Linked DNA regions of Macaca mulatta. The protein of the gene in region 3 purifies or fractionates together with the protein of the main gene of each other region. This does not show direct contact. Links are inferred from orthologs where the notes say so. Each region holds a gene or a part of one and is shown on either strand. Other genes may lie near its edges. The genes, in order: AMOT, PLEKHA2, MPDZ and YAP1.

Region 1 (7,132 bases), on a different chromosome or scaffold from region 3:
GTGACTTACTAAGGTTTAAGCAACAGCTCCTGATGCTCTGCTGTATCCATTTGGGTGTGCAGAAAAACATGTTGTTGTTTTTTTCTCACACTATTGCCTTTATGAATGAAAAGTCATCTTTTATATATATTATATATATTTTTTATTATTATACTTGAAGAAAAACATGTTTTAAAAACTGTAGCACACCATCCCTTGTCTTCCAACTCAGAACTAACTAGATCAACCTTTAGTCAAAAAGATGATGGGAACTCTATGTAGTCATGTAGTCAATTAGACCAAAATGTAGAGGTAGCAAGAACATCTTTTTTTTTTTTTTTTTTTTAAAGGGCATAGTGCTTTATTTATATTCATTCAGCAAAATCTAGTTTTCTGTTTATAATGAAGAACAGCATAATTTGATTTACATTTTGGAGGACTTGTGAAATGAATTTGATACCTTTCCAGGTTTATCTTTTTTTTTTTTTTTTTTTTGAGATGGAGTCAGTCTTGCTCTGTCACCCAGGCTGGAGTGCAGTGGCACTATCTTGGCTCACTGCAACCTCTGCCTCCCAAGTTAAAGTGATTCTCCTGCCTCAGCCTCCTGAGTAGCTGGGACTACAGGTGCCCGCCACCATGCCCAGCTAAATTTTGTATTTTTAGTACAGACAGGGTTTCACCATGTTGGTCAGGCTGGTCTTGAACTCCTGACTTTGTGATCCACCCGCCTTGGCCTCCCAAAGTGCTAGGATTACAGGTATGAGCTACCGCACCTGGCCGCAACAAGGTCTTTATATGTTCTTTGTCTTTGGTTCCTAGGATTAAGACCCTACATGCCCAGATTATTGAGAAGGATGCCATGATCAAAGTACTCCAACAGCGTTCCCGGAAGGAGCCGAGCAAGACAGAGCAGCTGTCGTGCATGCGGCCAGCGAAGTCTCTGATGTCCATTTCCAATGCTGGATCAGGCTTGCTCTCCCACTCATCCACCCTGACTGGCACCCCCATCATGGAAGAAAAGCGAGATGACAAGAGCTGGAAGGGGAGCCTAGGTAATGACAGTAAATAAGGAAGATTATAGTCATGTGTTCAAAGAGAGCCATGAGACAAGCACCCATGCTTAAGGAAAAGGGATGATGGTCCAGGTTCTGGAGAGGAAGGTGTACCAGGGTTTTGGGTTCATATTCCTCCTGAGACCCTAGTTCCACATTCTGGAGCTCCTCCACACTTTGAAGTCTCCTGGTGAGAATACTGATTGAGGCCAAAGCCTAGAGGACAAGAATCTTGAGTTTCATTTGGGTGTGAAGGAAGGTAACTCTAATTTCCTCTAAAATATTCTCACATTTGACCTTTGCCATGTGGCACCTTTATCTTTCTCCAGAACCCATGTGGCCTTTTTGTCATTCAGAATTTCAAAATTCCAGCATTTCTGTGCTCCTTCCTCCTGTATAATAGGAGAACCCAGAGTTTTAGTTACGCTAAATCGTTTGGGTAGCAGGTTTTGTTCCCACAGTGTTCTGAGATGAGAACAGAATGTACTTTTTCATTCCATTCCTGTCCATTCCCTCCCCTCTAATCAAAACCCCAGACATATTGTGGATACCACGGGCACATTTTTAGAGCCTGAGGAAGGAAGCTTATATGTATTTTTATTTTAACCCTTTTTGTTGCTTTTAATTCCTTTCTTGGTCCTCTGATACTTATAATATCTTTTGGTTAGAATAAGCATTTTGGAGACTATGGTCATGGTGAGAACCTTAGATCACACAATTATTACCACACTTAATCTGTGTCAATAGACTTATTCTCCAAATCCTTTCTTGCTCCCTGGTAATGTGTGGTAATGGTTTATAAGTGGAGCCGAGTAGGAGCATTCTGACAACTTGGTGGAACCCAATCACCATTGGAAAAATAAATCAAAACAGATACCCAGGTCACTTACAGGCTTAATATGTTGTGCCAGGTGATGGATGAGGACCAGAGGGATCTTCGAAGTCTGTAAGAAACTTTTAGCCATGGTTGGAGGAGCCTCACACACTGATTTCTGGGTTCCCTGGAGGCAAAAATAAATAATTTAGACACATTCAAATTTCTTCTGAAATTTGAATGGGAGAACAGGTAATTAGATGTCTGGATTTGAATCACCTATTTTTTTCTAATGTCTGTTCCCCTTTCATTTGTAGGCATTCTCTTGGGTGGAGACTACCGTGCTGAATATGTCCCTTCCACACCCTCGCCTGTGCCCCCCTCGACTCCCCTGCCCTCGGCTCACTCCAAGACAGGCAGCCGAGACTGCAGTACCCAAACTGAACGTGGGACGGAATCGAACAAAACTGCAACTGTTGCTCCCATCTCTGTTGCTGCTCCAGTTGCTGCCGCCGCCACTGCTGCCGCCATCACCGCCACTGCTGCCACTATCACCACCACCATGGTAGCTGCTACTCCAGTTGCTGTTGCTGCTGCTCCAGCTGCTGCTGCTGCTGTTGCTGCTGCCCCGTCTCCAGCCACCGCTGCTGCTATTGCTGCTGCTGTTTCTCCAGCTGCTGCTGGTCAGATTCCAGCTGCTGCCTCTGTTGCCTCAGCTGCTGCCGTTGCTCCTCCTCCTCCTCCTCCTCCTCCTCCTCCTGCTGCTGCTGCTGCTGCTGCTGCTGCTGCTGCTGCTGCTGCTGCTGTTCAGGTTGCTCCAGCTGCTCCGGCTCCGGTTCCAGCTCCGGCTCTGGTTCCAGTTCCGGCTTCAGCAGCGGCTCAGGCTTCTGCTCCTGCTCAGACTCAGGCACCAACTTCAGCTACGGCTGCAGCTCCAACTCCAGCTCCAACTCCAACTCCAGCTGTGGCTCAGGCTGAGGTTCCTGCAAGTCCAGCTACCGGTCCTGGACCACATCGTTTGTCTATACCAAGTTTGACCTGCAATCCAGACAAAGCAGGTAATTATTCCCTTTAGCAGGTAACTTTTGGTTTAGTTCTGCTCTCAAATACAGATTTATTTCTTGTTGCCTGATGTCTGGGCAGAGTTATCCTTTGGACTGAATTTTTCATGTTCTAAGGGAGAGAGAAGAGAGTCTGTAAATGACTTCTCATCCACCAAGATGGGAACAGGCATGAGTGGAGGCCATTATCTTAGCAGAAGTAAATGAGGGAGGTGACAAGTCTCACTTTGCCATTGGCTTCATGAGGGCTCTGATGGTGTCTAGTTCTAGAAATACAGGTTTTTTCTTCATCCCTAAGTGTTTTCTAACCCTTATTTCCATTTAGATGGGCCTGTGTTCCACTCCAATACTCTGGAAAGAAAAACTCCCATTCAGATCCTGGGACAAGAGCCTGATGCAGAGATGGTGGAATATCTCATCTAAACGGCCAAATCAAGAGCTGCAGATTCTCAGCAAAAATGCTTTTAATCATTTCCCCCTTTTATTGGTTCTTGTTTTGGGGGTGAGGACAAGGGTTGGGGGGAGGGGATGTTTTTTAACAGGACTTTTTGTTGGAACAATGTACTACTTGAGTAATACCATGTGAACCACCAGTCTATTCTGGTATGCTTAGGGAGTACCTCTAAAGACAGATTAATCCGAATGTGCTCTAAAGCTTATTGTTTGAATTTATACAAATACTGGGACTGTTAACGGGTGGGCATACATCAGTGTTTTCAATGTGCTTAAATTTGTTTAAAATTTCCATATTCTAGATCATTTTTAATTGAAGAGCACAGTATGTGTGGAAGACAGTGTGTAACACGTAGTTTGGAAGTGGGAAGCTGGAGAGAATTGAGTGTGTGCTGTCTTGTATAGTTACTATCCTGTGCAGCAGCCGGAGAAAGCTCTCACCTCAGGCTTATAAAAGGGAATAGTTTCAGGAGCTATGTAAGCTGGAAAAAAGGTAGGGAGTTTTGGGATGCAGAAGGGTGCTGGAGCTAATTTTTTCTTCCAATTTCCCAGCTACCCTGCCCCAGGGAATTGTGTTTGTCTTCATTTCAGTGGTGCTTTGGAAACGGATTCTTTTGGTTCCCTCCTGGAGGTTCATACATTCATATATATGCTGTGGAATAATTTATGCATTTGGATAATTAATATATTGCTTTCAGATGCTGGGAGAGTACATTAACTGAGTGATGCACAACTTCCTCTCTCTTAGGGAGTTAGACCATCAGAGGCCTTGATGGAGACTTGCGTGAGGTGCTATATGCAGACTTTCATGGTCTGTGTGTAGCCATGAACATAGCTTGCTTGCATTTATTAAGACCAATCAGCTTAGTGTTTATTTCTTCTACAGCACAGATTCACTGGCTGGGGCTCCAGTCTCAAATTGCCAATCATTTGCAAAGTGAGGAAGGATCTTTGTTGACAGGTTGAATGCTTTGAATTTCTGGTGACTACTTTGAAATAACTTGTTTTGTGTGTCAAATTCTAAGCATATGTCTTAAAAGGCATTTTTGACTATCATCTCCAAGGGAATAACATGAGAAACCCAAAGTACTATGCTGCAGTCGGGGGAGAGGTGGATTGCAGCAGTATCCTCAACTACCTCTTCTCACTGTCAGTGACTCCATCTTGGAATACCTTTGGGAAGCAGCGGGAAATGTGCATGTGGGTAGAGATCAAAGGAGGCAATGGTTCCAAGCCTTGCCATAGGGCTGCCTCCAAGAACACAGAAGGATGCCAGTTGCCACAGGACCCTGCCCTGTGTCACCTGTCTGCCCTTCATTAAGGTGACAAATCTGCAGATAGCATCATTAAGATCAGTTTTAAGGGGTATAGGGAGGGTGAGGGAAGGTGGGGGGGTGTTAGGTAAGGGTAGGGGGGGTAGAGGTTTTGGGATGTCTTAGTTAGAAACCAGATTAATAGAAGAGTAGGCCTGTTATATTACATCATGAGCCATAGCGGTGGGAGAGAACTTTAGCAATAGAGCCCTACCCCCTCATTTTAGTGATGAGGAATCTGAGAACTGGAGAGGTTCAGTGACTTTTTAAAAGTCACACAACACAGCTAACCATTATGCCAATCACCATGCTTATTTTGGGAAGCTCTTATCTTTTTTTAATTCCATTTTACGAAAAGACATCTTCATGGTCCAGGGAATATGTATCTTGTAAAATGTCCCTGGCTGGAGTAGCTTGTCCAGTCTTGACAAACTACTGAATTTCTGTCTTGCCTCTCCTTCAGTGCCTTTTAAAAGGTTTTCCCTTTTCTGATCTGCATTACAACATCGAGTCACATAAATGTCCCCCCTAAGAAACCAATCCCACTTCTTACTAGGAGATTGGGTATCTTAGATAATCTTTTGGGGTTCCTCTGTGAGTATAGGAATGATATCTTTCCTAATTACCTTCCAAAGGAATTATTCTGTGTGTGTGTGTGTGTGTGTGTGTGTGTGTGTGTGTGTGTGTGTGTAGAGAAAGAGAGAGACATAAAGGAAGGGTGATGTGATTTTCAGCTAGTCCTTTCACATTTTCAATAATGAGGTAATCATGTTACATACACATTAGTCCTCAGTTATAAAGTGAATCTCAGATAGAAATTAAAAATGCAGTTGTGTTAAGACTCTTTCATACTACCCTTTAGTCGTAAGGAGAAAAATAACCTCAAATAGTAGAAGCAGCAAGTAGCAAACTTCAGGAGAGCTACTTTCTATCCAAATAAATAATTTAAAAACACTTTTCACCTACTCCTTTCATGGTTATAACACATTGGCAGACTTTTTGCTGGCTCTGGGAACCATGATTTTAATCACATTCTGCAAGGTGACAAATGTCATACATTCCACATTGTGTGGTAGCCATCTCTTTAGACTCATGTGTTTGGGGGAAAGGAAGAAGTTCTTGGTTAAGTACTATTTTGAACTTTCCGGAACCTATCTGTCCTCTCATACCAGAGACAGTTCCTCTCTGCTCAGTTTCCAATCCGGATAATTCGCTAAAATAACATTGTACATCTAAGAGAGGAAAGAAGAGTATGTCAGTATATTATGCAGAAGATAGATAGAGCCTTTTCAGAAGATCTCCACTAGTTGTTGATCCAAAAATTCAACTTTATGGGAGAAATCTCAATTAGCCACCTTTTCACAGTTGTGTGGATGTAACATTTGGGGGCTCTTTCTGGACTCCTACCTATCTGTGCATTTTACTGGCACCTCAGGAAAGGAGGGTGACCAGGTTGTCTTAGCTTGTACTGCTTGGTGGTCTCTGAGGACCTTCTAAGTCAGTTGTACCCCAATGTTCCATGTATAGAAAAACTTCATTAGAACAAACTTTACTTGATATGAAACTCCTATTAACAGTCTTTTTTGAAATAAAAGTAGCTTGAGCTTTCTTTTAAAATCATGTATCTTGATTGTTGATTTAATGAAGGATTTCCTTTTAATGCTGCTTTTGAGCTTCAAGGTAATAGGACAGCAGGAACCTAAAATATCTGCCATCATCTGCCATAGGAAAGATACCCAGAGACCCGTCATGTTCTCTTTTTGTTGTTACTCTGTTGAGTGGGTATAACAATTGGAAGATGAACAAACTGATTGATTGTGCAAACTACTTTTTATGACAAGCCTAAACCCTGATAATGCGGCAGCTTAAAGTGTATACATATGCACTAACTTTGATCAATTATATTCTCATATCTGTTAGCCACACAATCTCCTATTATCTCAATTGCTTATGCGCATATGGAGTATGTTACTTAAAACGTGCATTCTTACTGAAAATGTTTTCTAAGGAAGATATCAGCTGTGGGCTAATTGCCACCAATTTCAGCCTGCCACGATTCTTGGAAATGTATCTTCCAAGTGCCATCCATCATCAGTAGGACAAGTGTCGGGAGTTTGTTTATTTTGTTCCAGTAGCAACGATGGGTTACATGGAGCCATGAAACCTCCTTCTGGCCTCCCTTGTGATTAATGGCATGTGTTTGTAAAATGGATAGCTGGGGTTGGCAGATGGCTAGAGAAGAATCGCCTTTGGTTTAAAATGTATGTGGTCCCCTAATGATTGTGACCCCATTCTGTAATCAACTGAGCTAGTTCCAATAAAGTTAAGCAGGTTTAAATCCACTTTGTGCCTATCTTTTCACTGACAATAAAGTTAGCTATTTTAAAATGCAGTACCGTGTGGAAAATGCTTTGGTGTTTACCCGACAGAGGCTTTATTTGTGCTGTATCAGTGATTACT
Region 2 (7,621 bases), on a different chromosome or scaffold from region 3:
GAGATTGCACCCCTGCACTACAGTCTGGGTGACAGAGCAAGACTCTGTCTCAAAAAAAAAAAAAAAAGCAATAGCTTTCAAACTTTTCCTTACCTACAACTCCTAAAATGCTGAAAAACTATGTATCTCTTCACACACTTTAAAGTTTGACATCTATAACTTTTAATCGTAGCTTTAAGTGTTCACAAGGGATGTATTCTGCAGTTGTTAGCATGGGATATTTTGAAATAAAACTGTCATATCACTCTTTTTAAGGTGTCCAATAGAATCTAAGTACCATAGTAATATGACACTATCATTCATTTTTAAAATTGAACAAGCAGTTCTTTGACAGCCAGAAATGTTAAATCTATCCCTTTCTTCCTTGAACTATACTTCCATTCCACTTTCCCTAAAGAATTGTATCCAAATGTCAGCTATTTTTATGCTTGAACATCTTTTATTGATTGCCCTATCATATTTTCTGAAACAAAAATGCATATGTAAATTGATTTTACAATGTTAAAAAACATCCTGTGTCCATAAGGCTGTAAGTGTTAAAACAGTTTTTGAGACTAAGTCATCATTACAATTATTAATAACAAGATAAAAATATAGTTTATTGATAGTTAAACAAAATACAGTAAAATAGCATTAGAAATTAGTCTCAATGAGATAGATGAGAATGGATTTTTAAATATATGTATGTTTATATGTTTGCATACATACATCTATAGTAAACAAGTATATGTAAAGAAGTTAAATATTCATCAATTAATATTACTTATTGCAATAATGAGCAGGATGTAATGTCAATACTTCCCCTATTTCTTTTTCTTTTTTTTTTTTGAGATGGAGTCTCACTCTGTCTCCCAGGCTGGAGTGCAGTGGCACAATCTCGGCTCTCTGCAACCTCCGCCTCCAGGGTTCAAGCGATTTTCCTGCCTCAGCCTCCCAAGTAGCTGGGATTACAGGCATGTGCCACCACACCCAGCTAATTTTGCATTTTTAGTAGAGACAGGGGTTCACCATGTGGGCCAGGCTGGCCTTGAACTCCTGGCCTCAAGTGAGAGCTGCCTCAGCCTCCCAAAGTGGTGGGATTACAGGTATGAGCCACCGCGCCTGGCCCTAATAATTTCCCTATTTCTCGTTTTTACGAATGTAAGCTCTGAGCAGCTTTGGTCACATTAATACGCAGATGAGGCTGCAAGGACTTTTGTTATGACAATGTCCAGGGCTGACGAGAGGCAAGAAAACTGGGACATAACCCAGAAAGGCTTATGGCTTCAAAAGGGATCCTGGAATGACTAAAAACACTTTTGCCAGGGAACCTGAGATCTGTTTTTCAGTAAGGCCGTATTTGGTAACATCATTCAATTATGTTAGAGATTTTCCTTCAAAAATTATTCTGTGGGGAGACTTTTTACGCGTGGGGTTGGGGGTATAATGGGAACACTCTCTACTTTCCACCCAGTTGTGCTGTAATCCCAAAACTGCCCTACAAAATAAAGTTTTGCTTGTTTGTTTGTTTTTGAGACAGAGTCTTACTCTGTCACCCAGGTTGAAGTGCAGTGGAAAGATCTCAGCTCACTGCAACCTCTGCCTTCCACGTTCAAGCAATTCTCCTGCGTTGGCCTCCCAAGAAGCTGGGATTACAGGCACCCACCACCAAGCCTGGCTAATTTTTGTATTTTTGTAGAGAAGGGGTTTCACCATGTAAGCCAGGCTGGTCTTGAACTCCCTGCCCTCAGGTGATCCGCCTACCTCAGCCTCCCAAAGTGCTGGGATTACAGGCTTGAGCCATCGTGCCTGGCCAATAAAGTTTATTCTTTAAAAATATTCTAATGATTGATCTGTTTGTGGACAATTCAATTAGGTTTTTCTCCAAAGTTTATGGATAGCAATGAATTGGGAACCGCTTAACCTGTGAAAGGATTTGTATCTGTTAGAAAAGGCTTTCCTGTCTCAGCACAAACACGGATATTTCTCATTGTCCCTTGTCTTGGCCCTGAAGGTTTTTACGACCCAGGGCCACGTCTTTCTTTCCTCTTTTAGAAGTGAGAGAGCTGTTGGGAAAGGAGAAGTGGGAAGACAGAAGCCAGTACGAACTGGCATTCACTGCATCTCAGGGAGATCTAGACAGTGATTCCTTTAAAACTGTGCCCTCTGGGTACCCACTGTTTAAACACCCCTATAGAGGTGATTTAGAAACGCCTTGGGCTGGGTGCGGTGTCTCAGGCCTGTAATCCCAGCACTTTGGAAGGCCAAGGTGGGCAGATCACCTGAGGTCAGGAGTTTGAGACCAGCATGGTCAACATGGTGAAACCCCATCTCTACTAAAAATACAAAATTAGCCGAGTGTGGTGGCACACGCCTGTAATCCCAGCTACTTGGGAGGCTGAGGCAGGAGAATTGCTTGAACCCGAGAGGTGGAAGTTGCAGTGAGCCGAGATGGCGCCGACAAGAGCAACAAGAGCAGAACTCCATCTCAAAAATAAAAAAAAAAACTGCCTCAAATGCACAGAATCCTCATGTCAGATTTTTAGTCATTTGCTGTTTGTCTGAAATTCAAATTTAACTGGGTGTCCAGTATCTACCTGGGCATCCTGTGCAATCCAAGTCGCTCTTTTGAAGAGATGAAAGAGATGAGAAAAACTAATACCTAAAAAGTGTGCAGGCCAGGCATGGTGACTTACGCCTGTAATCCCAACAATTTGGGAAACTGAGACAGGTGGATTGCTTGAGCACAGGAGTTTGAAACCACCCTGGGCAACATGGTGAAAACCCGTCCCTACAAAAAATCAAAAAATCAGCCAGACGTGGTGGCTCACACCTGTAGTCCCAGCTACTTCGAGGCCTGAGGCAGGAGAATGGCATGAACCCAGGAGGCGGAGGTTGCAGTGAGCCAAGATCACACCACCACACTCCAGCCTGGGCGACAGAGTGAGACCCTGCCTCAAAAAATAAATCAATAAAAATAAAAAGGAGACAGTTCTTTTCCAAAGGTCTTTTCCCTTTCCCTCCACCCAATTCTCAAATGGGCATACTGCTTTCTCGCCTCTCACAGGGTGCTCCATTTCTACCCCACCCCACTATCTTTTTTTCATCCTTCTTAAAAGCAAAATATAAGCAGACAAAACAACAAAACTGCCAAAGCTCATGAAGGGAAGAAGGCTCCTGGAGGAAACTTGGGTGAGGTAAGCGGTTTGAGAGGTGCAGAGAGAAATAGACAGGACATCTCTGTCCTGTCATCCCAGAAACACAGGCTAAAAAAAAAAGGAGGGAGAGCAGCAGTTTCTTTACAGCAGAAACTACATTTATGTAAAATGTGTGGATATTCTCCTTTACAGTCTACCCTGTAGACACATAATAAAAGTATTCCAAGTCCAACTACATGTCTGAGAGTCCTTGGTGCTCTCCTGACCTGTTTCATTGGAATGATACTAACCAAGCCTTCTGGTTTTTTCTTCCCCCTTCAGTTCCCATTCACTGCTGCTGCCCTCTCTCACCCCCTCTCATCTCCCAAGCACCAAAAATAATTTGAATTTCAAGCCTTTTTTCGGCCTTCCTGTGGGTGTGGGAGGACCTCCTTTGGGAATTGCTCTGGTTCTAGTCGGCTCCGTCTGTAATTTGGCAAAATGTCTGCACCCTACCCCCAACTTTTCTTCTTAATATAAGGGGAGTTTGGATCCCCACCTCAAAATATATAGTTCTTAGGATAACCAAAGTGACAAGATCCCTCCCAGGGATCCCCACCCCCCAATCCTCCCTCCCCCGTCCCAAAGGGATCCCTTGAGGGTCTGCAGCCTCCACTTACCCCACCCCTGGTTTTGGAAGAACGACTCTCTCTGAACAACAAGGCAGCTCCTCCCTAGCCAGGGGAAACTACCTCCAGCAACAGCTTTAAAAGGCAAGGTGATTGCGAGAAAGAGGAGGGCGAGATCTGGGCTCTTCAGTTCACAGGAGCCAAGGCGAGTTCCTGTTTCAAAGACAGTTTTAACAACTTATCAAGTTCAGAGACTCTGAGTCTCTCTCTCTCTCTCTCTCTCTCCCCCCCCCCTCCCTCCCTCTCCCTGTCTCCTCCACCCCACCCCTTTGTGTGTGTGTGTGTGTGTGTGTGTGTGTATTATTTTCCTTCTCACCAACTCACCCACATGATCCCTCCCATGGTCCTCCGGGTGACACGTGATTTTTCCTTTCTGAAAAAGCCTGTTGCCCAAGCTAGCCTCAAACTCCTGGGAGTTTGAAATCCTCCCTCCTGGGCTGCCCAAAGCAGTGAGATTACAGGTGGCAGCCACCTTGTCTGGCCGTTGAAATGCATCTTTATTAAAAGTTAAAATATAACCAGGATCTGTAGATGTAACCACCCTACCCTCAATCACCCCGGACACCTGCCTCCGATCCATTTCCACCCCGTCTCAGCCCTTCCTTAGCTAGCATCTGTAGACTCTGGTAAATGTTTGTTATTGACAAGAAAAAGGAAAGGGAAAAAAATGAGAACAAGAAAAAGGACCGCACACTTACGAGTTTTCTATGGTTTGGGGCAGTTTTGTTTTTAAGGTTTTAAAGGTTTCTCTTTGAAAAGATGGTATCACAGAACACACAGAACTGCTCTGAAAATGCAACTTCATTTACAAAACACTGCATCAAAATATTACACGGTCATGGAATCTAATGAACTGAACATGCATTCATGAAACTTAAAAAATACTGAGCAATGCATTGAAAAAAGCATGGTAAAAAAAAAGACAGCTCAAGTTAAATAAAACTTACAAAGGTTCTGAACCAATTAATGGCTGGTAACAATGTCATTCAAAAATGCCTATAGGTTTCAATAAAATCCACCATTTATTTCTGCATGCCTAGTTCTTGAAAAAACTGTTTGAAGCTGTGAGGTAGATAGTGGCCAGGAATTATCATGCTGAGTTAATTTTACACCTGAAAGATACAAGGTTGCCATACTTAAAGCTCTTGTTAGGCCAGGCGCAGTGGCTCACTTCCAATACTTTTGGGAGGCCAAGGCGGGTGGATCACCTGAGGTCAGGAGTTCAAGACCAGCCTGGCCAACATGATGAAACCCTGTCTCTACTAAAAATACAAAAAGTTAGCCGGGCATGGTGGTAGGTGCCTGTAATCCCAGCTACTTGGGAGGCTGAGGCAGGAGAATCGCTTGAACCCCGGGGGCAGACGTTGCAGTGAGCCGAGATCGCACCATTGCACTCCTGCCTGGGCAACAAGAGGGAAACTCCGTTTCAAAACAAAAAGAAAAAAAAAGTTGTCGTCGATGCTGGCTTGAGTTGCTTTTTAGTAAAAGACAATACTCAACTAATAAGAATGGCATGAGATAGGATATGTAACAATTTCACCATTCATATACTCACTTTCTGTTTCCTGGTTATATTTTGATTTTTAATAAAGATGCATTTCAACAGCCAGGGAAGGTAGCTCACACTTGTAATCCGACTGCTTTGGGCAGCCTAGAAGGGAGGATCGCTTGAGCCCAGGAGTTTGAGGCCAACCTGGGCACTATAGCAACACTCCCACTCTACAAAAAATTTTAAAAGTTAATCAGGCATGATTCCACACCTGTACTCCCATCTACTTGGGAGAGTGAGGTGGAGGATCACCTGAGCTTAGGAGTTGGAGGCTGCAGTGAGCTATGACTGCACCACTGCATTCCAGCCTGGGTGACAGAGTGAGACCCTGTCTTTGAAAAAAAAAAAAAAAGGCATTTCCAAGACCTCCATAGGAAGCAGAATTTTTGGTGCCCTGGGACAGATTCAGTTCAAGCTTTTCATGACTTTGTTTCTCCTTGCCCTTTTCTTGATGAAGGCGGTGCTCACAAAATTGGTTATATTTTTTTCTTTGTTTTTTGTTTGTTTGTTTGCTTGCTTGCTTGCTTGCTTGTTTTTTGAGACAGAGTCTCACTCTGTTGCCCAGGCTGGAGTGCAGTGGCATGATCTCAGCTCACTGCAACCTCCGCCTCCCAGGTTCAAGCAATTCTCCTGTCTCACCCTCCCGAGTAGCTGGCATTACAGGCACCCGCTACCACGCACAGCTTATTTTCATATTTTTAATAAAGACGGGGTTTCGCCATGTTAGCCAGGCTGGTCCCAAACTCCTAACCTCAAGTGATCCGCCCGCCTGGGCCTCTGAAAGTGCTGAGACTACAGGTGTGAGCCACCGCACCCAGCCCATTTACTTATTAAAAAAAAAAAAAAATTAATCAGGCTGCTGTGGTACCAATTGTTATATTCTTTGGAAAAGCAGTTTTCAAGAGCCTTAAAATATTTTTATTTGGCCCAGTGATTACCCTCTGGAAATCTATCCAAAGAAAATGATCTAAAATTGCAAGTGAGAAAAAATTAAACATAATGTGTTCTGGGACTGAATTATGCCTCCCCGTAACCCCCAATTCACATGTTAAAACCCTAATCCCAGTAACTCAAAATTGACTGTATTTGGAAGTAGAGCCTTTATAGAGATGACAAGTTAAACAGAGTCTATTAAAATGGGCCCTAATTCAATCTGAGCAGTGTTTATATAAGAAGAGGAAATTTGAATACACAAAGAAACACCAGGGATGCCCAAATACAGAGGAAAGGCAGTGCAGACACAGGGAGAAGGTGGCCAATGGCAAGCCCAGGAGAGGAGCCTGGGCAGAAACCAACCCTGCACCCACCCTGATCTTGGATTTCCAGCCTCCAGAGAGTGAGAAAAAAAATTCTGTTGCCTAAGCCACCTAGGTCTATAGTACTTTGTTATGGTGGCCCTAGCAAACTAATAGATGACTTTTAAAATAATTATATATATTTAAAATAGAGAACAACTAGAAATGTCCTAAATGTTCAACAATTGGAAAAAGAGTATCATACAGTCATCAAAATGCTGAGGCTGTATGGAAAAAACTGCTTACAAGATAATGTTTCGCCAAAAAAAGCTAGATGCCAGGCACAGTGCCTCTCACTTGCAGTCCCATCTACTTGGGAGGCTGAAGGAAGAGGATCACTTGAGACCAGGAGTTTGAGACCAGCCTGGACAACATAGCAAGATCCCATCTCTAAAATAGAAAACATCATATGTGCCCCATAAATATGTATAACTATGATGTACCATAATAATAAAAATAAAATAATTTTGAAAAATTGTATGTTGTCATCTGGGTTATTTTTAAAAAGCAAGACACATTTTATTTTATTTTATTATTATTTTTTGAGATAGCATCTTGCTTCGTTGCCCAGGCTGAAGTGCAGTGGCACGATCTCAGCTCACTGCAACCTCCACCTCCCAGGTTCAAGCCACTCTCCTGCCTTAGTCTCCTCTCGAGTAGCTGGGAATACAGGCACCCGCAACCACACCTGGCTAATTTTTGTATTTTTTAGTAGAGGTGGGGTTCCACTGTGTTGGCCAGGCCAGTCTCAAATTCCTGAACTCAAATGATCCACTCGGCCTCCCAAAGTGCTGAGATTACAAGCATGAGCCACCATGCCTGGCCACAAGATACATTTTGTATACATACACACATACATGTGATTTTGACTATAAAGCCTATGGTCGGTGGAAAAAACTAGGAGGAAAAAAAGCCCATTGTAGTATTGTTTTAGAAGATGATGATTATTATTTATATTCTCCTTTCTCTATT
Region 3 (7,930 bases):
CCCCAGTAATGATCAGACTATGCACTAGCCTCCAATATGATCTCACTGCCTCAGGGTCTCACTAGCTTACAGACTAGGTCTCTTTGAGAACCTTGTTATGGGCTAAATTATGTCTCCTAAAAATCCACAGGATATCCTAATTCCCTGTACCTCAGAATGTAACTGTACTTGGACATAAAGGTTAAATGAGGACACTAGGGGTGGGCTCTAACACAATATGACTGGTTCCCTTATAAAAAGAAATTAGGCCATAGACATACACAGAGGGAGAGTATGTGAAGAAACAGGGAGAACTCAGCCATCTACAAGCCAAAGAGAGAGGCTCGGTAGAAACCAATCCCACCAACACTTTGATTTTAGCCTTCCGGCCCCCACAACTGTGAGGAAATAAATTCCCGTGGTTTCAGCCGCCCTCCCACTCTGCGGTATTTTGTCAAGGCAGCCCTATCAAACTAATACAGATTTTGGTACCAGGAAATGGGGTGCTGCTGTAACAAACACCAAAAATGTGGAAGTGGCTTTGGAACTGGGTAACAGGTAATGGCTACAAACGTTTTAGGGTGCATGGTAGAAAAAGACCAGATTGCACTGAAGAGGTTGTTAGAAATATAGACACTAAACGTGTTTCTGGTAAAGTCTCAGAAGGAAATGTGAAACGGGTTACTGGAAAGTGGAAACTTCAAGAGATAAAATTCAGCCTATACTTCATTGCTCTCCATTAATTGCTCTTCCCCATCCAAACTTTTCCCCTGGGCACAAACCCTCTATCGCACTCCAGAAATATACAAATTGAATACGCTCTTCAGTACCCACTGCCCACTCACATCCAAGCCTCTTCCATACACCATGTCAATTTTCAAGGCAAAACCACTGACTTAAGCTCACTTCATACCAAAAATCTTTCATTTCCACCCTCTTATCTCAAGACCAAAGCCCCCTCTGTGTGTTATTTACTAACCACAATGATAAGAGCAAGTAATCCCTATACTTAACTACTTTCCTAGAATCCCTGTAACATTTTTTATGTGTAAAACCTTTCTATAATTTCTCCCATTAGATTCTTGCAACTAAGACCCTATGCTACTGGAGCAGAATCGTATTTATTCTGTGTTCTCCTCAATGCCTAACCCAATACAACAGTCTTCCTAATCCACCTATTACTACCTATTACATGAATACCTCGGATCTTCTCTGGAAACAAAGCACAGGAAGGCAATGGATTCCTCACCACTGGTTTCCTTTATTGAGAAGTAGTTATTTATCTCCTTAGTCTTATTATCCCACATGGAATCCCACTAAAATTATTTAATCACAATATATCAATGTTACCATGCTAAATATCATTTCCGAACTGTACTTATATAAATGTTCCCCTTTGTATGACACTAATTTACAAGAAAAAAATGAAACTTTTATTGTTATAAATATGGAGTTGATAATGTATGTAACAATATCAAATGAAATCCTACTTCAAGCCAAATAACTATTTTTAAAAGTACATGTAACTGTTTTGGACATATATCATCATTTATAGGCACCATCAAGCAGTCCTAAATTCACCAGGAAGTTGTCTGCTTCTTCACTTTAAAGTGTAGGATCTTTCTCTGGCAGATGTGCTATTCGCTCTACCATATTTGGGGACATTCTGGTCCAACTTTGCCTCAAAATATTTCATGAAATTCAGAGTACTTTGTATGTTTCCAAATATACAAAATGTAGCCAACCTGCAGCTCAACCTGAGAGACAAGACTATGTCGGATCTGGGATGTAATCTGGAGAAAATAATCTGCCTCTAACTCAGGATAGCTACGTTCCGGGCAATTCATTGTTCTTCTCCAGCTTTTAAATCCCTTAATCTCAATTCTAGACAATGGATTCACTTCATCATTTGTCAAGCAAAATCTCTCCATCCTAGCAGTTAAAAACTAAAAGTGGCCAACTAGGCCTAAATCCATGAAAGTTACATTTCAAGGATTTCCAAGAATCTCTCTCAATAGCTTCAACTTGTAGAAATAAACTAGACTCTGAGAACAGCTTCTATTCCTCACAGTTAGGTGCATTTAAATGCATCTGAAAAGGAAAGATGTCTTTAAGGGCCAACGAGAGCAATGTCTAGGTGATAGGACTTTGAAACACATTAAAAACTGACTAATGATCCCTCCCTTTCCAAGCCACAACCACCAGGCCCAGTCAATAAAAAGAAGTGTGGTAAAGAGACAAAACCAGAACTAGAGAAGGTACGTGAAAAGAATAAACACAGAAAGGAACAAAGGGGAAAAAAAGAAACATATGTAAGAAATAAGGTACACCATAATCTATTAGTAATACGTTGAGAATAATCTTCCTAAGTTTGTTCGTTTTGGCAAACGAGATAGGAAAGAGGAATGGAGAGTCAAAGGGTACCCAAAACTAGTTTTGCCTACGTTGCACACAAGGGCACAGGTGCATCCATCCAAAGCGCGGTATTGTATTAGAAGATCAGGTCAAAGAACTTCAAGTTTTGCTAGGTTTTTATTTATGTTTTTTATTTACTTATTTATTTATTGAGTCAGAGTCGTCTCGCTCTGTCGCCCAGGCTGGAGTGCAGTGGCATGATCTCGGCTCAATGCAACCGCCGCCTCCTGGGTGCAAGCGATTCTCCTGCCCCAGCCTCGCTAGTAGCTGGGACTACAGACGCGTGCCATCACGCCCCACTAATATTTGTATTTTTAGTAGAGACAGGGTTTCATCATGTTGGCCAGGATGGTCTTGAACTCCCGACCTCAAGTGATCCACCCACCTCGGTCTCCCAAAGTGCTGGGATTACAGGCGTGAGCCACTGCGCCTGGCCAAGTTTTGCTAGGTTTTTTAAACACTATTGTTTGCCGAAATTCCATCAAGTGCTGAGGCATACATTATACAAATTTAGATGGTTCCAACATTACAAGATGTTCACTGTAATCACTCACACCCAAATTCAACATGTAAAACTCCCAAGCCCGAAGCCATCACCTCCTCCTCGTTAGTTTTCAGATAAGGTGTTATTCTATAAAAGGTAACCTAAACCAGGAATTTCTAGGGAAACACGAAGGGGATGTTTACATCAAACTATCTACAAGGCAGGTCAAGGCAGTCTGGTCACTTATCAGATTCCTTCTCTATGACATCAAAAGAACATGGAGAAGTTTTCCTTCTAGGCTGGTGAAGTCATAGTCCTCTTATCTATCTGGTGATACCTACCAAACACTAGCCTCCAACCACAGCCCCCACTGCACAAAGACAGTGCCCATTGCCGGGGTCTTCCCAAGCAGAGCACCTCAACAGCGCCACCGCGGAGGAGAGGTCCCCGGGGACCCCCCACTCGCCCCCAGGGACTGCGCAGTGGCCTCCACCTCCCGCCGGCGCCTGGCCACTTCTCCTCCCCCGCAGTCTCCGCTTGGATTTCCATGTGACTGCAGGGAAGAATAGCCCGGCCTTTGTGCCTCTGCAAAGAATGCAAGCAAAAATGTACACCATCACCACCCGACAAACGCGCTACTCCGCAAGGCACAAAGCGTCTCCCAAACATCGCTTCCCTAGGAACATCCGGCATCCTGGGGCTGCCAAATCACAGACAAAGGCGCCCATCAGAGCGGGGGGTGAGGGCATTAAGGGAGAGACAAGACCAACATGCTCCCACCAACGGGAGCTGCGGTTAAAAGGGCATGGGCGCCAGGGGGGGGGGGACGGGGAACCGGTACCAATTAGCGGCTTGCCTTGGGGTCCCCGAGGCTAAGGCGAGAACGCAGGACCGGGAGCATTGCTGCCCACTCTCTACCGCACCCCGCGCAGCCCGGCACCGCGTAACGGCGGACAGGGCATTCGGGCGCGGCCCCGGCAGCGGAGAGCAACAGGCTCCCGCGCCCCGGAGGCCTGGTCTGCGCTCCGGACCCCCAGGCTAACACCCCACCCCCCGCCCCCCGACACCAAGACTGTGCCCCTCTGGGTCAAGGAAAAGGAAGAACTTTTAAACCTCTTAGAGTCAGCGAGAGCAAAAGAAAGGGGTAGGGGTGGCTGAAAGGTCTAGGATTATCCATCGCGGGGGTGGGAGGAGTGGAGACTTGCGAGTAGCAAAGGAAACTTCTAGACCCCATCCTTTTAAAAAGCCACAGCAGCGGCATCCGCGAAGCGCCTGGCCGCGCGGGGTGGGGCAAGCGCACCGCCCCACAGCCCGCCGCCACCCCCACCCCCGCGCGCCGAGCCCCGGGCGCCCGCGCACCTTCCCCGCCGGCGCGCGCGCAGGGCGCGGGGGCGCGCCTCGGCCTCCGGGCCTGGGCTCACGCGCCGCTTACCCGGCTCGCTGCGGCCGCCCAGGGCCGGGACGCGAGGGGGCAGAGGGCTAGGGAGCAGGGGTCGCCGGGGCCTCTGGATGCCTCGCTTCGCCCACGCTCGCTGTCTTCTGAAGTAACGGCCCGGCGAGGAGCTTCGGGATCAAAGCGCACACTCACGCGTGACTGAGAAACTTAATCCCGCGGCGGCCCGACGCCAGCCTCGCGCTCCGCCGCGCCCCCTCCCCCAGCGCGCGCCGCACTTGCGCCGACCGGGGCTGCCGCGGAGGCGGCGGCGGGGCCCAGGCTGCTGGGGCTGCCGTGACGCCTGCGACCGGCGGGGCGGCGGGCGCGCCTCGGCCAATCAGGGGACGCGGCCTAGCGGGCCGGTGCGGGATTTTAAACTCGCTCCTGGGCCGCTAGGCCTGGGGTGTGGGTAGTGGATTTATGAGGTGGTCAGATAAAATACAGACTGGCCTGTTAAATGGGAATCTCAAAAAAGGAATAATTTTAGTACAAGTATATCCCTTGCAATATTTGGGACGTACTTATACTAAAAAGTTCTTCATTGTTTATCGGAAATTCAAATTTAATGGCAGTCTTGAGTTTTTATTTGCCGATTTTGTCAACCTGCGGAAACTGATAGCCTGTTTCTGGTTCCTCAGATTTTTCTTATGTGCACTGCCCTGAGGATGCTTTCTGCATGGGTAGCTTACTAAGTGGCATAGGATGCTGATGAGAAGCGCTTTAATCAGAAAGCGGGGCGGGGGGGGGGGGGCAGTCGTCTCACTTTCTAAGAAACTTTTCGCACATCAGGGTGCATTCTTAGTCTGATGATCCAATTTAAAAGCAAAAACAGTAAACATGGAAAAGTTATTAGAGTTACATGGCCCCAGGAAGAACAGATATTCATTTTTTATTTTGTGCCACTTAAGATTTTCTTTCTGTTATCCTGAATTTGGAAGTCCCACGAAATTTTTTCTGCATAAGAAACTCTTTTTCAAAACATCTCTCTAATATTATAGTACCAAAGGATACTCAGAAGTCCAATTTAGAACATTTAATAGAATTTCTCTTATTATTCTGAATAAAAATACTCTTTTCCCGTATTCCTTGGCCTTTCAAACACAGTCACAGCTGTTGACCTCTCTCTTCCTAGAGCCCTCCCCACCCCACCCCTCCTGTAATTCCATGCAATCACACTCTTGGTTTTGCTCCTTCCTCTTAGTCAAGGGTGGAGGTATGGGCTCTGAAGCTTGTACAATTGGGGGTCTGCTTTAACAAAAAACAAAACAAAACAAAACTTTCTTTTGAAAAATCGAAAAATAAACGTCCCTGTAAACACATTGCTAGGGTTGCTCCCAGGCAAGAGAAGGACCCAGAATGTTAAACTACTTCAGTTTCCAGGTAGATCTGCCCCTGTCACTAGGCCACTCTTCAGTCTTCTTTGCCACCTCTCCCCCAACCTTTAGATGCTGGAGTTTCTTAAAAATCAGTTACGGGCCCTCTTTTCCTTTTAACTCTTACCTCTAAATACGTTTTCACTTCTAGCTTATCATCTAGTAGCTATGGAATCTTTCTTACATTCATACCTTCAGATTTATCCATATATTCAAGTGTTTATTCGACTTCCCTCTTTGCTTGTCTCAAACCTAGATTGCAAAAAAAGAAAAAAATGCAACCATGATAATTCTGCTCAAGCCTGGTCATCTTCCACAGTTCAGTGTCCCAGTGAATGGAACTGCCATAGATACATGATTCCCACAAACTAGGATAAACCCATTGTGATGCATTCTTATTGTACCCTATGCTTTTGCTTCATAATATTTATCCTATTTTGTAAATATGCACTTAATTTTGTAATTATGCAATGTCTCTTCCCACTTCAACCATAAAGCCCATGAGAACAGGGGCTGTCACCATTTTATCCTCAGAGCCTAGTTAAAACTTCACACTTGGTTGGCACTCATATGAAATAGGATGAATATACAACTGCAAGAATGAACAATTTGTCCATATAACTTTTGTGTTCTTGTCATAGAGTCATCTCAAGGCATCCCATTTGGAAAGGATTTTCTTATTGCTTAGAAATTCCAAAGGGCTCCTCCTCTTTGAATAGCACTTCTACTTGTCAGTTTTCAAATCTGGTCATTCTCAAATACAAAGGAAGTATGTGCATGAAATGTTAGCTGCTGGGATAGTGTAGGAGGAAAAGAATTTCTTAACTAGCTACTGAAGGAATTCCGTGAGTCCTAAAATTTTAAATGGCGTTTTTTTATATTGAACCATAGGGAAAGAGCCCATAAAACTGAATTAGAGGAAAGTTTTAGAAATTTAACTCTCTGATTTATTGTGGATAAATGAGATTAAAACAAAGGATTTTACCTTGGTTTAAAAGGTGCTATTGTTCTAGTCTCCTTTAGCCAAGCAAAATCCATGTGCCCTCTTTAAACAACAGTGTATCAGAGGATAAAAAAAATCTTGTTTAGATTAGTCCTTGCATAAAATTATCCAGCGTTTGGGGATAATTCCACCCAGAAGTTTCTCCTTTTGAAGTTAACCTGCAGAGCTATTGCTCTATTCTCTGTAACTTGTTCTAATCCAGAAAACCTAAGATTTTCTAGAAATCCACCAGGGATATTGCACTAAAAAAAATACCTAAAATAGAAGTTAAAAACATTAAATTAGTTGAAATAAAATCTTGCAGAGAAAGACAAAGTGTAAAGCAGATAGACTCTGTGGGATGGGTTGAAACTTACCCCGTAAGTAAATGGATTAATAATGCTTTCTATTTCATGTCAATATAGCCTCTGGGGTCATTCCACCTGTATCCTCAGTGAGGCATTCTCCACAATAATTTGTTTTTCTCAAATTTGAGTTATATTCAGAGGACTTTTATAAGGGAAAAAGTCCTGGAAACTTCTGAGATTGGTTTAAATGATTGGTTTATTATTTATTGTTCATCATAATTGAACAAGTACAAATATAAACTATGTATATGATATTGTTTTACATTTGTGGCTTCTCTACAACTCTAAAACTAGTGAAAGGCCCAGGTTGTCTACTCAAAACCTTCAACAGCTGCTGAAAAGACAGATCCTGGAAATTGAAGTTTTGATCCATCACAATAACAGAGGATTCTTTTAGTTGCCTGCTGAGCACACAGTCTTCATTCTGCTTTTTAACAGCAGATAGCCAAGGCGTGGGTGAGACCCCCATGCTGGGAGATGTTACTCCAGAACTGCAGGGTTAGAACTCTGTATGAACTAAATCTTTTCCCAAGGACTAAGTGATTTGGGGTAATCCTAATAGTGGGATGATGGGCTATTTCCATCACCTTTAGCCAGCAGTGACTCTTAGTAATGATGCAGCATTTAAATGCAAACTAGATGGCATGCTTGCCAGTCCCTCTACCTAAGGGATATCTAATACATAACAACTGTGCAGTTTTAGTTTATTATAGTTTGTAGATTTTTTGTGTTGTCTATTGGCTGACTGACTTTATGGTTTCAATTTGCCTCAAATGTCTCAATTAAAAGAAGAGTTCAGATAAATTTTTTTTTCAGTTTGTTCAATGTTAAAAAACATTTTAAATCCTTAATTTTTTCTCTCCATTGAAAACAAGTCAAGGTTGAAGAAAGAAG
Region 4 (7,915 bases), on a different chromosome or scaffold from region 3:
ACAACCCAATGGTCATGTTTTTGTTTTCCCAGAGAGGAGGGTTTCTATTGTGAAGATCTACTAGCTTGAAAGAAGTTTGCCACTGAGAGACTGCGTATGAAACCTAAAAATTTATATTTCCCTTTACATTTTGGGGGGAAATATTGGTAAGTCACATCAAGCTTCAGTTGTAGTGCTTGTCATTTCACAATTTAAAATACTGTAAAATTAGACTCCCCCAAAAGCCCTACTTATTTTGTAGTTCTCCACCAATAAAATATTTATTTAAAAAGATACAAGTAGCACCACACGTACTTCATAAGATGCTGCTAGCCCTAATATTCTCAGAATTTGAAAATTTTCATGGTATTCTTTCTGTTTTGTGCTAGGCTAATTAACAGGTTTGGCACAAGCTCAAAATGAGAATAACCAAACTTCCACAAAAGAAAAGATTATAAAGAGGCTCAGAACCAAGACTCAGTAAAGCTCTCAAAATATTACCCATGCTAACAAAGGTATTTAGGTCACACCAAACTTAAACATATACATGGGAGATATAACAGAGCTCTAGAGCTTAACATAAATATTAAAAAAAATAAAAACAAATGATATTCTGTATCTTGACACCACTTTACTGTGTCTTCCAATACATATTTTTCTTAGATAACTGTCTCCCACCATTATTTTCACTTACTTTAAGAAGTATCTCTGACCAGAAGATGTCTTTGCCATCTCCCAACCTGCTGGCAGAGGTACATCATCAGGTATCTCAAAAGAAGACTGTCGAAGATGCTGAGCTGTGGGTGTAGCTGCTGGACCAGAGACTACTCCAGTGGGGGTCAGTGTCCCAGGAGAAACAGCTCCCAACTGCAGAGAAGCTGGAGAGGAATGAGCTCGAACATGCTGTGGAGTCAGGGCTCCTGCAGTGCCTGCATCAGTACTGGCCTATTAGGAATATTAAGATGAAAAATTAAAAAAGAAACACAACTTTTTAGAGAGTCCCTTTAAATTTCCCAGTCAGTGCTTAATTGCAGCCGAGTATCTAAGTGCCAAAGGAAAATTTCAACATTTAATATTCGACACTAGAGAACACAGGTTTTCAAACGGATACTTTTAATATTATATAATTTTAATATGTTTTATATTTGTGCTTTTATTGATGAGCAGTCCATCTAATGAATTTCCACCTACTACACACCAGACATGTAAGGGCAACTAGTACTGAATGAATAAAACATTCCAAAAATAATAGTGAATTTTAAAACCTAATTTTTAAAAAGTCACTGCAGTTATGGGTGCTTTTCCAAGTTCTAAAATGTTCTAAGTATAAACACAACGCAAACAATATGCATTTTTTACTAGGTTTTAAGTAATTAATTTTTTTTTCTAGGTCAAGCCCAAGAAAAAACAAGCCCTCGTCATTTTTTCCCACCATGATAAAACGCCATCAATAAAGAAATCATAACAAATTACACAATTTTTAATGAAAGCAACAAATTTGAACTGCCCAAATGTTCTTAAAAGCCATCTACAATGAACAAGATGAAAAAAACTCAACTATATATTTGTATGTAGAAGATAATGAGGTTATCAGTCCAATTATAACTTAAGAACTCACAGACATTCACAACTCTATACAAGCAGAAAAAATTCTGCATTCAGACCCCAAAGATCTGAGTTCCAGTCTAAGCTGGCTAGTGTGACACTGAACAAGTATGTTAACTTCCATATGCCTGTTTTCTCGTTTGTAACATAGTTTTCAAGACAGAAAAATGGATGTATATAAAACAACTTATAGTCACCAGTTTGTGTTGTGAACAATAGTATTCACAACCTACATTCTACTATTCACAATCTTGCATAGTTTTTAAAATGTGTCTAATTAGAATTAAGAGTTTGATTATCAAAAAGTTAGAATTTCCTAGATTCACAAAGGTAAGGAAACCGGAAGGACTCAGTAGAGTCATTAATGCCTTAAAGTGATAGACCTTTCTGAGTGTCCCATCAGAATAAGTATGATTTAGAAAATCACTAGCAGAAATAAAAGTCCAATTTACAGATGAGCAACACTTAGTTAAAAACTTATTAAAAACAAAACTGTAATAGTTTATGAATTTTAGAACTGCTGGATATAAATTCTTGTAAAAATTACCTACTAGAAGAAAAAGTACACTTTCCAGTTGTGACTCTTTGTCACAAAATGGGGGATCCAATCTATGTGTAGTATACTTTGAAAAAATACCGTGTAGTCTGCAGGGTGCATGCCAACACACATTTACTTACAATGAGTCCATAAACCAACTTCCAGGGGTAAGAAAAAAAGCATACCTAAGTCTATCTCTGACAAATTGAACTGTTTAGGCAAGCAGCTAAATTGTTTTTCCTTCCTTCCTCCTCCTTAACCCGGGTTTTTGTCATCAGGTTAAGTGAGTTTTTCTGAGTTCCAAAACCCTGTGGTCTCTGACAGAAGAATATACAACAGGCCTGCAAATAGGACAGAGGATGGGAGTGGGGGCGGTAACTCTTCTTTCCACTCAAGTTACAGCCCGAGTAGGCTAACTACATTGCAGTATTTGGAAAACCTATTAACTTTTGGGCAAAGTTCCTATGCTGAAGTTTAGCCTGAAGCAAGTTCTTTAAAAAAAAAAAAAGAAGAAAAAAGAAAAGAAGGAAAAAGAGAGAACCCTACACTAAACAAAACCACTGGGACCTATCGGAATGTTAACACTCTCATTATAAATAGTTTCACTTCTATGCTGAATCAAGCTGGCAAAATAATCGAACGTTGTGTATGTGGAAAAGCAGCCATGTTCATATCCGCAATAAGAATTAAAAAGCAATGGCGATCCTAGAATTAGTCATCGCTTCCCAAACATTAACTTTTAATCACAGTTGAACTAGGCAGGACTTGGCCTATGAGTCAACCCGCAGTGTATTATCAAAGGCTTGTGTTAAAACCTCGGTACTGTAAAGCGCAACTCAGTTCCTGCGCAACGTACAGATGTGGCTAATTCAAAAGCTTTTCAGCCGACTGTAAATAATAGCCTACGATCGGGAAACCAACACGCAACCTACTAAGTTTGATAAGAGCGAGCCGACCCAAGTTCCAAGACACAAGGGAAGCGCAGGGGTGAAAGAACTCCATAAACAACTTCCAGGAAAGTCTGGGCAGGGGAAGCCCGAAACCTGTATTCAGAAATCGCCTAAGCCGCGAGGAAAATAAATGCTTACGGGAGGGGGAGGCGGAGGGGGAGGGGAAATGGGTAGGGGGGAGGGAAAGAAAGAGCAAAAAACTAAATGGACCGGTTCTACCCCCACCTCTAATCAACACTGGAAAACAACAGAACAATTATTTGACTCCCCCAGGAGACTGAAGTGGACCGAGAGGCCGCAAAGGAAAGGGGCCCAGGGCTCAACTTCACAAACTCGGCCGCCGCTGGCAACTCACCCACACACAAATGCCAGAGGCCCCCCTCCCCCTTTCCCGGCCCGGCCCCGGCGGGAGCGAAGGTGCGGAGCGCGCGGAGGCGCGCGCATTGTGCAAGCCCACCGCGGCCCAGGCTCGGCTCTCCCCCACCCCCTTCCTTCCTCCCCACCCCTCCTCCACTCCCGCCAACCTCCCGGGAACCCCGGGAAGAAAGAAAGGAAGGAGGGAAAGCACGCCCCCCGGGGCCGCAACCGCAGAAAGAAACTCCGAAAGGAAAAACAAATCTCAGCCCCGGACTCTGGGAGGAGTGGGGAGCTGGTCACCGCGGCCGAGCGGACGACTCCAGTTCCTCCACTTCGCCGCGGGACCCCCACCCCAGCTAGAGCTCCCGCAACCCCCTCCCCTGGCCAGAGCTGGCGGCCGCGGCTCCCGAGCGCCCCCCCGGTCTGAGGCCCGCCCGACGGGGAAGCGGGGAGAGGGGCGACAAGGTTACCTGTCGGGAGTGGGATTTGGGCTCCGGCGGCTTGAAGAAGGAGTCGGGCAGCTTCCGGAGCCTCATAGGCACGGTCTGGGGCACGTTAGCCGTCTTGGGGTTCATGACGGCGTTGAAGAGCGCCTCCAGGTCGGTCTCCGAGTCCCCGCGGACGTGCACGATCTGATGCCCGGCGGGGGGTGCCTGCGGCGCCGCCTGGGTCGCCGCGGGTGCTGGCTGCCCGGGTCCGGACGGCGGGCCCTGCCCCTGGGGGGGCTGCGCAGGCGGCTGCCCTTGGCCCTGGGGGGCCGGTTGAGGCGGCGGCTGCTGCCCGGGATCCATGGCTTCTGCCTCCCCCGACGCGCACCCCCTAAACCAGGCGGGCGAGGGCTCCGCCCGGACGCCCCGGCTCCACAGGCCGAGGTGGAGAAGCGGCGACGGCTGCGGGCCGGGCGGTGCTGGGCGGCGGGAGCGACGCTCTCCTCGCTCTCAGGGCCGGGGGGCTGCGCCGCGGCCCCGCATCCCCCGCCCCGGCGCCTCCGCCCCCGCCCTGCGCCCCGGCTCCACTGGTCTGGCGGCTGCGCCTCGGGAGGGGCTGCGAGGGACTCGGACCTGCGGCGCCTGAGAACTTTTTCCCTCCAACTCCCTTGACGGAGGCCGGACAGCTCGTTGCCTTTCCCCTCCTCCCCCTTTCTCTTTTATTTCCTTTTCTTGTTCCTTCCTTCCTCCCTTTCTTTTCCCTGGCGGCGGCTGCGCCCGACTGAGACAGAAACTCGCCTCAGACGCCAAAACTAAAGTTGTGAGAAGCGCCCGCCCGCGCCGCCGCGGCCCCGCCTCCTCTCGGCTCTTCCTTCCTCTGCGCGCCCGCCCGCACCGCGGCCCGGCCGGCAGCGCAGGGAAACTTTTCGCTGCAAGTTGCTACATTCCTGCACACTCCCAGCCCTCCGCGCCTCTCCCGGTCGCACGTGACCCGCTCGCCCTGGTCCGGTCCGCCCTTCGCCCGCGCTCAGCCCGGCAGGGGCCCGGAGCGTGCCCCGTGTTCTACGCCGCGAACCACAAACGCTGGGTCCATTCCGAGGCCGAAGTGTGGTCTCTGCGGAGAACGCGGCCGCCCTTGGCCCCAGAAAGTCCTTCCGCCCCGCTCGGCTCCTTTTCCCGGCCCGTGCTCGGGAAAGGCGCTTCCAGCTCGCCTGGACTTGCGAAAGGACGAAGGCCGAAAGAAGTGGAGAGAGGATGTGCGAACCCACCTCCTCCTCCCGCGTTACCCCGGCTTGACCGAGCGGAGCGCCAGTGCGGGCTTAAAGCCGCCAGGATAGATGGGAGTTAAAATAGATACGGTGAGCCGGCGCTGATGTTAATAAAGGTCCATTGTTTTCAGCATTAACTTTATTTTGTAATTCTGTTTCACTTATCTGTTAGTGTGCGAAAACTCACTTGAAAGGGTAAACGGTTACTGTAATTGAAGCTTTGAGACCAGGTCTGTGAGTCAGTGTAACTTAGTAAAAGAAACAAAAACACTACATTTTCTAAATAGTGAAATCACATCAACTGTTTTAGTACTCGAGTTTGCAACATAGTCACTGGAAGCCTCAACCCAAAAAAATCAGTGCTTCTTCAGGTACAAGCATTCATTCCTCTGTACCTGCCTTTCATCCTCAGGGAGCTGGGTGCCTACCCCTGCTATCCCTGTGCCTGGCCCAAGGGTGGACTCCGTTAATGTGGACTGAATAAGAAATGAATGGGCAAGTAGGTCACCCCAGGCACCTGATGTACAAGGAGCCCATTGGAAGCCACTTAAAAACAATGGAAATATGTTGTTTAAGTCATACACTCTGGTTTTTTTTTTTAAGCATCCTTGTTGAGATGTAATTCATATACCATACAATTTTTGTAATATTTGTACATATTTGTATATTTAAGCAATTCAGTGGGGTTTTTTTGGTTTTGTTTTGTTTTAGTATAGTCATAGGATTGTGCAACGTCAGTCTAATTTTAAATGCACTAGCCCATTCTAAGGAAATCTGGCTTTCTTGTTTTAATGATTTTATCTACAATGCTAGTGAAACAGAGGTATAAATAGGATTAAGCAAGGAAAAAGTCCGGTAGCAAAAACATAATCTCTTCCTCCAGCCAGAACATGCCCAAGAGAATTCTGAAGGATCTGTATCACTTGGTGTGGTAGGGCTCGGCCAAAGGAGCAGGCTTCAGACACTCAAAATTCTAACAGAAGATTCCAATCAACTACTCTGAACCCCCAGTTTCCTGTCTGAAGAAAAGGATCAGAGTAAATGACACCCATGACTAGTTCTTGGATTTGTTCCCACTCCTAAATGTCAAGTGCATTTAACGACAAACTTGTAGGTTCTGGAGTTACAGAGTTTTGAGTTCAGGTCCCAGTTCTGCCATTTACTAGCTGTGAGATTTTGGACAAGTTATTTATTTCCTGTTCTTTAATATTAGCATCAGGGGTAATAACACCTGCCTCATAGTTGTTGGGGCATTAAATGAGTCAATGGATATATGGATATAATGTACTTAGCCTAGTTTGGGACGTGCAGTGAGTTGCGCATCAATGTCAGTTGTCATTGTTGTCCCATATTCATAGATGACTTCACAGGTAGTAACATAGCCTCTCCTTGCAGCAACCCTCTCTTTCTAAGCACAGCCTTAGGGACCCTGTTGGTAATCCCTTCCTCTCCTATCCAATAATCAATCCACACAAACAAAATCTTTGGGCAGAAACTGTGCATTAAAAATTTACCTGAAAGAAAACTTTAGGAACCAAAGTGGACCAGGCGTGGGGGTTCATGCCTCTAGTACCAGCACTTTGGGAGGCTAATGCAGGGGTCAGAATCACTTGAGGTCAGAAGTTCGAGACCAGTCTGGCCAAAATGGTGAAACCCTATCTACAAAAAATACAAAAATTAGCCAGGTGTGGTGGCATGTGCCTGTAGTCCCAGCTACTCAGGTGGCTGAGGCATGAGAATCACTTGAACCCAGGAGGTGGAGGTTGCAGTGAGCTGAGATCACACCACTGCACTCCAGCCTAGGCAACACAGCAAGACTCTGTCTCAAAAAAAGAACCAAAGTGATTGAAAACCTGGGATTGGAATGGAAGCTGTCCTTTTACTAGAGCATTTACTACTATGAACACTAGCTAAAGGGCTTAAAGTACAGCAGAGGCTGCTTTGTTCAATATTGTTTCGCCTGCCATTAAAATGAGGACAAAATTACTTTGATAAGTGGCGTGAAAGGGTCTTTGGAGTGACTACATTCTGTAAGCACTTCTGTATCATCAACCAAGATTTTGGAACTTACTATTCCTCGTTTATACAATTTCAGCCACAGTGTAGTAGGGGATACAGATAACATATTCCATCCTTTGTCTACTCCCTTCCTCTTCTGCCCATTTTGTGGAGCAATTATCTGTTGACAGCATCTTAAAATAGGGAGTCACCTTCTTCATACAAAGATTCATGCTTATCCTGAATCATTTTCAATGTCCAGGTAGATCGCTGTCTCAAAATACTCGTCTCCCAATTACTTGACCTCTCAACTACAATGGACCCTCACCTCTACTTCACTTTAGCCACCTACCCGTTCGTCTGTACTCTGTCATCATCAGAAATACTCCAGTAATGAAGTCAGATTATGGTATACCATATTCTTAATAATCATCTGGTTCTCTTATTTCATTACTCGCACCTCATTTATCCTTCACCTCTCCCTTTTCTGCAACCTATCACTCCCTTCCCTTTTCATTTCTGTTATGGTTTGGATGTTTGTGTCTCTCCAAAATTCATGTTGAAACGTCTCCAATGCATCGGTATTAAAAAGGTGGGGCCTTTGGGAGATGATTAGGTCATGAAGGTTCCTCCCTTCTAAATGGGATTAAGAACTTTATACAAGAGGCTTCACACAGCATTCAACTGTTTTGCCCTTTCATCTGTCTGCTGTGTGAGGATACAGCTTCCATCCCTTTAAGAGGATGTAGCAACAAGGCACCATCTTGAAAGCAGAAAGCAGCTGTCACCAGA

Evidence for each region.
Region 1: the proteins of MPDZ (region 3) and AMOT purify together in Homo sapiens (affinity purification with mass spectrometry; 4 studies listed by BioGRID and IntAct, with this or other methods). This does not show direct contact. The link is inferred for Macaca mulatta from reciprocal best matches to the Homo sapiens genes MPDZ and AMOT.
Region 2: the proteins of MPDZ (region 3) and PLEKHA2 purify together in Homo sapiens (affinity purification with western blotting; 3 studies listed by BioGRID and IntAct, with this or other methods). This does not show direct contact. The link is inferred for Macaca mulatta from reciprocal best matches to the Homo sapiens genes MPDZ and PLEKHA2.
Region 4: the proteins of MPDZ (region 3) and YAP1 purify together in Homo sapiens (affinity purification with mass spectrometry; 6 studies listed by BioGRID and IntAct, with this or other methods). This does not show direct contact. The link is inferred for Macaca mulatta from reciprocal best matches to the Homo sapiens genes MPDZ and YAP1.

The regions. Positions count from the first base shown.
Region 1 is NC_133426.1:119,485,747-119,492,878, reverse strand, and holds the end of AMOT (angiomotin), read left to right. Parts: intron 1-798; coding exon 799-1,031; intron 1,032-2,162; coding exon 2,163-2,903; intron 2,904-3,231; coding exon 3,232-3,329; 3' UTR 3,330-7,064; downstream 7,065-7,132.
Region 2 is NC_133413.1:40,835,151-40,842,771, reverse strand, and holds the start of PLEKHA2 (pleckstrin homology domain-containing family A member 2), read right to left. Parts: upstream 3,961-7,621; 5' UTR 3,797-3,960; intron 1-3,796. UniProt on the Homo sapiens protein: Binds specifically to phosphatidylinositol 3,4-diphosphate (PtdIns3,4P2), but not to other phosphoinositides. May recruit other proteins to the plasma membrane.
Region 3 is NC_133420.1:85,866,713-85,874,642, reverse strand, and holds the start of MPDZ (multiple PDZ domain protein), read right to left. Parts: upstream 4,596-7,930; 5' UTR 4,467-4,595; exon of another isoform or gene 4,311-4,466; intron 1-4,310. UniProt on the Homo sapiens protein: Member of the NMDAR signaling complex that may play a role in control of AMPAR potentiation and synaptic plasticity in excitatory synapses. Promotes clustering of HT2RC at the cell surface.
Region 4 is NC_133419.1:102,975,208-102,983,122, reverse strand, and holds the start of YAP1 (transcriptional coactivator YAP1), read right to left. Parts: upstream 4,505-7,915; 5' UTR 4,448-4,504; coding exon of another isoform or gene 4,221-4,447; coding exon 3,900-4,220; intron 3,592-3,899; exon of another isoform or gene 3,428-3,591; intron 925-3,427; coding exon 674-924; intron 1-673. Other genes in the region: uncharacterized protein LOC144334584, read left to right, coding at 4,219-4,447, 4,505-5,205. UniProt on the Homo sapiens protein: Transcriptional regulator with dual roles as a coactivator and corepressor. Critical downstream regulatory target in the Hippo signaling pathway, crucial for organ size control and tumor suppression by restricting proliferation and promoting apoptosis.